Linked DNA regions of Saccharomyces cerevisiae S288C. The main gene of each other region encodes a partner of the protein of the gene in region 2 in a complex. Each region holds a gene or a part of one and is shown on either strand. Other genes may lie near its edges.

Region 1 (5,020 bases), on a different chromosome or scaffold from region 2:
CAGTTTATTCTGTATTTAATTGTGATTTCAAAGTGGGATTATGGAAGAAGTATTTTATCTTTATCGTTGTAGGGGGTTGGATTAGTTGTGTTGTCATTCCTTTGGATTGGGATAGAGATTGGCAGAATTGGCCAATTCCTATTGTTGTTGGAGGTTATTTGGGCGCTTTGGTGGGCTATACTATCGGTGCCTATATATAATATCGGTAATTTAAAAATTTGTATATAAAAAAATATAAGTATGATAGAGGTAACATAAACTGGTCCTATGCACAATTGAAAAATCTATGACAAAAACTAAATGATCTTTATACCAAACCCACCTATATGCTATTTGTACCATCTTAAAAGAAGGTAATAACTTCCATACAGATAAATAGCTAACAACATTAAATATCTCCCACTCTCCTCATTCTTTTCTTTTCATAATTTCCTTTTTCTGATTTATTCATTCTATATAAAAAAATAATACAAATCCTCAGATTAAATAATAAATACTATAAAAGTCTCAACTTCTTCTTTAATTTGTTTGAGTCGCTTTAGCTACGAATAGCCTCAAAAACTTCGTTGAAATTCTCCTTTGTTAAACCGAAAGTATCCGAATTTGCGTCGCTATCAACAGGAGCTGCTGCGCCTAAAACTCCATTAGAAACTGTGCTATTTTTCCTCTGTTCATAAAAATCCGTTTTTATCAGAGATTCTGAAATTTTACTCAACTCGTGATTTAATTTAATCAACTGCTCTGCAGATATGCCAGAAAATCCGTTATTAATGGAATAATTTGAATCGGCGCTAGTCGTTACCTTATTCTCCTCAAGATTTTTGATATACTTGGAGATTGTCTTAATTTTAATAATCAGATTTTCGATGAGTTTATTTTGCTTTTTACAATTCTTGGTATAATCACTTAACAACATTGCAATTTTGTTGATAATTAAATGAATAACATTTTTATTCTTTATTCTCTTACTATTGTCGTTATTACTATGAATATCTGTTTGCTCACTGATTTCATTAGCATCATTCGTCCTCTTTGAAGAATCAAAAGACCTTTGATAGAGCGCCAAAAGCATTAAAACTAAAGTTTGCAGAACCACAATAGATTTATTGATGAATGTGAATTCATGACCAGCAAATTTAATATTGGCTAAGTTCGAGAAAACAAAGAACAAGGTCTCCCTCGACAATTCCAAAAAGTCTTCCAAAATTTCGTTAAATTTAGCATAATTTTTCAATGTTTCAAATTGCAATAAGAGGTAAAAGTTCAAATATAACATTGAATTCCTGTAGATTAGAGAATCCATGATATTATTAATTATTGAAGGAGTCGTTAAACATCCTTGGCTGACCTCGATATTCTTATTTTTCAAAAGCTTGATTAACTGTATAATTTTATCAATGGATAGTTGTTGATCTTTACTTTGCAAATATTTCATCAAGTTTACTTCAAAATCAATCAATTCAAAATCGTTGTTCAACAAAGGATCAATAATTGGGGTAGAATTTGTGAAAGGTTCAGACATTAGCAACGGCAATTGACCTAAGAAAAGGTGTCTCCAGCAGTAGTTCTTAAATATGAAATTCCAGGTCAAAATATGAGATTGATTTTGAGTTTCATGATTTAACGATAGTAAACATGCCATATGCATATCTTCGTCGTAATCAATTACGAAAGAGGACGATGACGACGTGTCCATCACAAATTGGTAATATTTCCACAAAGAAATAAACCGCAGGGTCTCTATATTACACATTGACCTTTTTTCAATTTCAAATCTAAGCGTTGTTAAATTAGACTTCAACAAAGGCAAGTAGTTGAATAACACATTGAATAATTGCAAGTGTTCATCATCTCTAAGAGGAATCAAAACCGTAGAATTCAACGATTCAAAAAGAATCAGGAGACAGAGAGTAATAAATCCTAGATTTAGTAGCTGATCATTGGTCACACTAAAAACTTGAAAAATAGTTTCAAAATCTTTAGAATTTGGCTTATTAATGGTGTTAGAAGGAAAAAGCTGCTCAACTATGGGTAATAGTCTCTTTGGTTTTAATATTGGAAGTATTGAATTCGTTTCCGTTATCGTGGATAAGTATTTGTTGATAAGGGTCTGTGTTATCGATTGTGAAGGAAACTTTAATATTTGAGATATGCCACTGTTGCGCTCAATACTGTTACGGCTTGCTACCAAATCGTGCAAAGGTCCATTAAATTGCGTTTCAATTAATATATTCAAGTCATTGAAGAATTTGAATAGGAAAGGATCACGTTCAATCAAATACTGAATCTGGAAGATAGAACTTTTATTTATATTTTTTGGTAACAGCCATAATCTGTTTCTACCTTCTTCTGAAATAGCAGAATTAAACACATTAAAAACTTTATTAGTATCCAAAAATTGAGGATCTAAATCCTTAAATTCATTAAGATGAGGTCTTCTTTCACTCTCTGGAATTGGCTTACCGTCCCCGTCCGTAACGCCGTCTTCACTCAGTTTTCTTTTCTTAATTGTCAAAAACTCCTCTTGGTTTCTATTGGAGTGTGAAGACTGCATTTGCGCTGAGGAATCCTGCTTGAGATCAAGATTTACTCCCGTAATTTTCTTACCTGTAATTTCTTGCAATTCCAGTAGTCTGCCTTTCAAGAAATTCATTTCATGATTGATGATTTCATCTTGTGTGTAAGGAGAGGTTAGCATATGAAAAATTGCAGGGCCTTGAACCCAATTGAGTGGAGTAGAAGATTCGTTTGCAGAAGTGACTGGCTTACTTTCCAAGGAAGGCACTGATTTTGGAATATATTGAGTGTGTTGTTGATTCAAGGTTGCATTTGCCGCAGATGATCTATTATTAAGTTGATTTTGAGCATTGAGCAGTTGCAGACGCGTGTTGTATTCTCTTATTTGCTCCAAAGAAGCCAGTTCTGGATTTTTCTGCAAAAGTGCAGCAGTTTCCTTGGAGACACGACGAGAAGCGTAATAAGAGTTTAAGTACGGACCGTTGGCTACTTGGCGTGTATTGGAAGAGGAAGAACTAGAGGGAACGTATTGTCCGGGAACGTCCGGATAAAAGCAGTCCATTTTATTATGCTTCATACAGTTCCCACAAATCGGCTTAACACGATCGCAGCCTATCTTCCTCTTACGGCACTGCACGCATGCAGGCGGTTTTTTCATTTTTCTACCACGAATATCCATCGTTGTTTTTTGGTTCTGAAATGCTATTTTTGTAGATAAGAGCTTAAGAAAATATCACAGAAACCTCGATTTTAAATATCTGCGTAGTATGGGGCAATTGCAGCAGAGCACCAATGACTTTGGTTTGAAAGCCGTGAGTTTTGATGAAATAATCTAATGTAAGCAGCTAATATATCTTCTCGGGCGAAAACGGGAAAGTGGTCTTACAAGCGTCTAACGGGCCGAATGAATATTGGTGAACTATGGCTATTTGCGAGAAGGTATAGCAGTGGAAGTGTCCAGAAAGCAGTATGTTCCTAATAATAAAGGTAGTTCTTGGTCTGTGTGATCCCAGCTGGTCAACAAGACCCACGTTGGTCAATTGAAATACTCTTGTGAAGTTGTGCCAGAAAAGGGCCATAGGGTAACATACTCGTTCTATGTGATAATCAACTGTTATAAGCACTATATAGTTACATAGCTGGCCTATACATCTCCTGAATAGTGATGCAGTTTAGAGTTCATCGTGGGCTGCTTCGCTAGCTTCCGCTTTGATCTCTTCCTGTAGCTTGGCGGCGTCTTTATTGTCCAAAGGAACAGTTTCCAGTTCACCACTTTCCACAATAATAACTTCCTTTACAGGCATATTTCTACTGTCGGTCTTAACGTTTTCAATGTAGTGAACTACGTCCATACCATCCAAGACTTCTCCAAAGACAACGTGCTTACCGTCCAACCATGGGCATGGGACGGTGGTGATGAAAAATTGGGATCCGTTGGTGTTTTTACCACGATTGGCCATAGACAATCTGCCTGGTTTGTCATGTTTGACATCAAAATTCTCATCTTTGAACGTGTTTCCGAAGATAGACTTACCCCCAATACCTGATCTGTGAGTGAAATCGCCACCTTGAATCATGAAGTTAGGAATAACGCGATGGAAGATAGAGTTCAAATAACCCATCTTAGGGTCCCTGGAAATGGTCAACTGGTAAAAGTTTTCAACGGTTTGGGGTGTGGTGAGACCATACAATCCCATAACAATTCTACCAATTTGTTTATCACCGTGATTAATGTCAAAGTAGACCTTGTGTGTGATCTCAGGATCTTCTGCCGTGTCCTCTTTCGCAAAAATGGCTGTTGTGAAGAGACAAGCAAATAAGGTAATAAAGGAAAAAAATTGAAGCTTCATAATTGCGGATATCGCTGTGCCTTTTGTTTATTGAATTGAAAGTAACCTTTACTGTTGAGTCTCCTCGAGGAAAGTAGTAAGGATGGTTTCATCTTTTTTTTCCTCTGCTAAAAGGGATTCGCTGCGAAACGAAAATTAACTTCCCTACTATTTTTTATATCGTAAGTATGAATCTATTATTTATTGAACTATAACCATTGTGTTAAACCAGGATCAGAAGATACAAATTCTTCTAGTCTGGCTTGAAGATCCTCAGCTTCTTTTTTCATTTCGGTTAAAGCTCGAACCTTCCTTTGACTGTCTGGCTTCAAGACATTAGGACCTTGTGAGAGTTCATCCCCGTCTACAGTGGCCGATGTAGAGTTATTTTTTCTTGCTTGCCTACCACCAACACCCAAATATTCGTCTCTTCTTCCTTGCCAATCAGTCAAAGTCCCATTACCATCCCAATGATCTAATTTATCGTATATTAAATCCCCTACATTGTTTATTTTATAACGTGGAATAATGTGTGTATGCAAGTGGGGTACCGACTGTCCGGCCTCAGGTCCATCTTGGATGGCAACGTTGATAGAGTCAGCCTTATATTGCCACTTAATAAATCTATGTATTAACTGTAAAGTCTTGAAATAATCTTGAGATTCAGGCATGGT
Region 2 (5,059 bases):
TTCTTGTACGATTAATTATTTTTTTTTTGCGTCCTACAGCGTGATGAAAATTTCGCCTGCTGCAAGATGAGCGGGAACGGGCGAAATGTGCACGCGCACAACTTACGAAACGCGGATGAGTCACTGACAGCCACCGCAGAGGTTCTGACTCCTACTGAGCTCTATTGGAGGTGGCAGAACCGGTACCGGAGGAGACCGCTATAACCGGTTTGAATTTATTGTCACAGTGTCACATCAGCGGCAACTCAGAAGTTTGACAGCAAGCAAGTTCATCATTCGAACTAGCCTTATTGTTTTAGTTCAGTGACAGCGAACTGCCGTACTCGATGCTTTATTTCTCACGGTAGAGCGGAAGAACAGATAGGGGCAGCGTGAGAAGAGTTAGAAAGTAAATTTTTATCACGTCTGAAGTATTCTTATTCATAGGAAATTTTGCAAGGTTTTTTAGCTCAATAACGGGCTAAGTTATATAAGGTGTTCACGCGATTTTCTTGTTATGTATACCTCTTCTCTGAGGAATGGTACTACTGTCCTGATGTAGGCTCCTTAAATTGGTGGGCAAGAATAACTTATCGATATTTTGTATATTGGTCTTGGAGTTCACCACGTAATGCCTGTTTAAGACCATCAGTTAACTCTAGTATTATTTGGTCTTGGCTACTGGCCGTTTGCTATTATTCAAGTCTTTTGTGCCTTCCCGTCGGGTAAGGGAGTTATTTAGGGATACAGAATCTAACGAAAACTAAATCTCAATGATTAACTCCATTTAATCCTTTTTTGAAAGGCAAAAGAGGTCCCTTGTTCACTTACAACGTTCTTAGCCAAATTCGCTTATCACTTACTACTTCACGATATACAGAAGTAAAAACATATAAAAAGATGTCTGTTTGTTTAGCCATCACAAAAGGTATCGCAGTTTCTTCTATAGGCCTCTACTCTGGTCTTTTGGCTTCCGCTTCATTGATTACATCTACTACTCCACTAGAGGTTTTAACAGGATCCCTTACTCCCACTTTAACCACTTTGAAAAATGCGGCCACCGCCTTGGGAGCGTTTGCGTCAACTTTCTTTTGTGTGAGCTTTTTCGGCGCTCCTCCCTCATTGAGACACCCCTACTTACTCTATGGTATGCTTGTAGCTCCATTATCTTCATTTGTTCTAGGATGTGCCTCCAACTATCAGTCTAGAAAGTACAGTAAAGTCTCTAAGGAATCTTCTTTATTTCCCGAAGACAGCAAACTCGCTGCTTCCGAACTGAGCGATTCTATTATTGATTTAGGTGAAGACAACCATGCTTCAGAAAATACACCTCGAGACGGGAAGCCTGCAGCAACCACAGTATCAAAGCCGGCAGAGGCATTGCACACCGGTCCCCCAATCCATACTAAAAATCTAATTGCAGCAACTGCTATTGCTATTGTTGGCTTTGTACAAGCCGTTATTGGCGTTTATGGGGAAGGACAATTTATCTAGTGTTTCTCGTTCACGTATTTATCTCTACAAGAATTTGTAGCTGCCTGAACTCGGCTCCTCTCTCTCTCCAAAAATAAAGTGTGTAGTAATTTGCAGTTTTTTTATATATTCCTACGAGTTTTCAAACGTTCAAAAGACAGTATGTTCAAAAATTGTGCATACACACACGTATGCACATATATACATAATAATACACTGTAATAAGCACATTTGTAGGTGCTCTTGCACTTGGTTTATTACTGTCACTGACTTTTCTCACCCGGCCGAGAGTCGTGCGAAAATTCGCATGTTAAAGTGAGAAAATAGAGAAAACAACACAGCTGAAAAAAGTATTGGTAACAGTTCAATACGTGATCAAATATACAGCACGTCGCGCAGAACCAGACGAAGCGGAGAATATTCTACATTGACAGTGCATGATGCCTGATGACAATTCAAACTCGTCCACTCAAAACTCAAGCGCATTATACAAGGACCTGAGGAAAGAATATGAATCTCTTTTCACTTTAAAGGAAGATTCTGGGTTAGAGATTTCACCAATATTCAATGTCCTTCCACCTAAAAAGGATTATCCTGACTACTACGCAGTGATCAAGAACCCTGTATCTTTCAATACTTTAAAAAAGCGTATTCCACATTATACAGATGCTCAACAGTTTATGAACGATGTTGTCCAGATTCCATGGAATGCCAAGACTTACAATACAAGAGATTCAGGAATTTATAAATACGCCTTAGTCCTTGAGAAATATTTAAAGGACACAATCTATCCAAATTTAAAAGAAAAATATCCTCAATTAGTGTATCCTGATTTGGGTCCTCTACCCGATGAACCAGGTTATGAAGAGTTTCAACAGAAATTAAGAGAAAAAGCTGAGGAAGTAGCGAGAGCTAATGCAGCCAGAGCCGAGTCGAGCTCTTCAATGAATTCAACAGAAGCAGCCAGAAGATTAAGAAAGACTCGTACTTCCGTCAAAAGAGAATCAGAACCAGGAACCGATACAAATAATGATGAGGACTATGAGGCGACGGATATGGATATCGATAACCCTAAGGATGCTGATTTTCCTGATTTGATAAGAAAGCCACTAATAAATATTAATCCATATACTCGGAAACCATTAAGAGACAACAGGTCCACTACTCCATCTCACTCAGGCACCCCTCAGCCGTTAGGCCCAAGGCATAGACAGGTATCCAGAACTCAGGTAAAGCGTGGGAGACCCCCAATCATCGACTTACCGTATATTCAAAGAATGAAAAATGTTATGAAAGTACTAAAAAAAGAGGTGCTAGATAGTGGAATTGGTCTAACTGATCTTTTTGAAAGATTGCCCGATAGACACAGAGATGCAAATTACTACATCATGATTGCTAATCCAATTAGTCTTCAAGACATAAATAAAAAGGTAAAGACTCGTCGTTATAAAACGTTCCAGGAGTTCCAGAATGATTTTAATCTTATGTTAACCAACTTTAGAATTTCGCACAGAGGTGATCCTGAAAGCATAAAAATTTCAAATATCTTAGAAAAGACCTTTACTAGTCTGGCAAGATTCGAACTATCCAAACCTGATAGAAGTTTCATTCCAGAAGGCGAGCTAAGATACCCTCTAGATGAAGTCATTGTAAATAATATATCATACCACGTGGGAGATTGGGCACTTCTTCGAAATCAAAATGATCCTCAAAAACCTATAGTGGGCCAAATATTCAGGCTATGGAAGACACCAGATGGGAAACAATGGTTAAACGCTTGTTGGTATTACAGACCCGAACAAACTGTGCATAGAGTGGATAGATTGTTTTACAAAAACGAAGTTATGAAAACAGGTCAGTACCGTGATCATTTAGTGTCAAACTTAGTTGGGAAATGCTATGTGATTCACTTTACTAGATATCAACGTGGTAATCCCGATATGAAATTGGAGGGTCCCTTGTTCGTTTGCGAATTCCGTTATAATGAATCCGATAAAATTTTTAACAAGATTAGAACCTGGAAGGCTTGCTTACCAGAGGAAATTCGTGATTTGGACGAAGCTACCATTCCGGTAAATGGTAGAAAGTTCTTCAAATATCCTTCCCCCATAAGACATCTACTACCAGCTAATGCAACGCCGCATGATCGCGTTCCTGAACCAACGATGGGATCCCCGGACGCGCCACCATTGGTCGGTGCCGTTTATATGAGACCTAAAATGCAGCGTGACGATTTGGGGGAATATGCAACCTCTGATGACTGTCCCAGGTATATTATCAGACCCAACGATTCTCCCGAAGAGGGACAAGTGGATATAGAAACAGGTACGATCACCACAAACACGCCAACAGCAAATGCTCTTCCTAAAACAGGATACTCAAGTAGTAAACTATCCAGTTTAAGATATAACAGGTCATCTATGTCTTTAGAAAACCAAAATGCTATTGGCCAGCAACAAATACCACTGTCAAGAGTTGGTTCCCCTGGCGCGGGAGGCCCGCTTACTGTACAAGGTTTAAAGCAACACCAATTGCAAAGGTTACAACAGCAGCAACATCAATACCAACAACAGAAAAGATCCCAAGCATCACGTTATAATATCCCAACAATAATCGATGATTTAACATCGCAGGCATCAAGAGGTAATTTGGGTAATATAATGATCGATGCAGCCTCCTCGTTTGTCTTACCTATCTCTATAACCAAAAACGTAGATGTTTTGCAGCGTACTGATCTGCACAGCCAAACCAAGAGATCTGGAAGAGAAGAGATGTTTCCATGGAAAAAAACAAAGGGTGAAATATTATGGTTCAGAGGACCTAGTGTGATAGTAAATGAACGAATAATAAATTCAGGTGACCCACACCTAAGCCTGCCACTGAATAGGTGGTTTACCACTAACAAGAAAAGAAAACTAGAATACGAAGAAGTTGAAGAAACCATGGAAGATGTGACTGGAAAGGACAAAGATGATGATGGCTTAGAACCGGATGTTGAAAATGAGAAAGAGTCCTTGCCAGGCCCATTTGTCCTTGGATTAAGACCCTCGGCTAAGTTCACGGCGCACAGACTCTCTATGCTGCGGCCTCCTTCGTCGTCTTCATGATCACCTTTATTGTAAAAGCAATGGCAGCATAATATCTTCCCATTGCGCATTACCCTCCGCGAGCAGAGTCAAACTTCAAACAAAGCAGGAAAATGAAATAAAACAGAAGTTATTATATAGAAGAAAGTCATCTATAGATATATTATCGTTGTATTAATAGTAGCCATATAAAACAATTATACTTCATCACCAACCTCTCAAAATTTCTTCCCCAAGGACCAAAGCTTTTCCAGTAAGTTGCTACAACTAAAGTGAAATAAACTATCCGAATTATATAAAAGATGCCTGACTATGACAATTACACTACGCCATTGTCTTCTAGATATGCCTCCAAGGAAATGTCAGCAACGTTTTCTTTGAGAAACAGATTTTCCACATGGAGAAAACTATGGTTAAATTTGGCTATTGCTGAGAAGGAATTGGGCTTAACTGTTGTTACAGATGAAGCAATTGAGCAAATGCGCAAACACGTCGAAATCACTGATGATGAAATCGCAAAA

What was found. Proteins that work in one complex are often made in the same cells at the same time.
Region 1: RSC2 (region 2) and RSC3 share a complex: the UniProt entries of both Saccharomyces cerevisiae proteins name them as parts of the two forms of the RSC complex.

Annotation. Positions count from the first base shown.
Region 1 is NC_001136.10:1,068,191-1,073,210, forward strand, and holds RSC3 (Rsc3p), read right to left. Parts: upstream 3,197-5,020; coding exon 539-3,196; downstream 1-538. Other genes in the region: mannose-ethanolamine phosphotransferase GPI11, read left to right, coding at 1-200; peptidylprolyl isomerase family protein CPR5, read right to left, coding at 3,690-4,367; HNT2 (bis(5'-adenosyl)-triphosphatase), read right to left, coding at 4,556-5,020. UniProt on the Saccharomyces cerevisiae protein: Component of the chromatin structure-remodeling complex (RSC), which is involved in transcription regulation and nucleosome positioning. RSC is responsible for the transfer of a histone octamer from a nucleosome core particle to naked DNA.
Region 2 is NC_001144.5:839,442-844,500, forward strand, and holds RSC2 (Rsc2p), read left to right. Parts: upstream 1-1,889; coding exon 1,890-4,559; downstream 4,560-5,059. Other genes in the region: ATG33 (Atg33p), read left to right, coding at 880-1,473; YLR358C (uncharacterized protein), read right to left, coding at 4,046-4,609; adenylosuccinase ADE13, read left to right, coding at 4,841-5,059. UniProt on the Saccharomyces cerevisiae protein: Component of the chromatin structure remodeling complex (RSC), which is involved in transcription regulation and nucleosome positioning. RSC is responsible for the transfer of a histone octamer from a nucleosome core particle to naked DNA.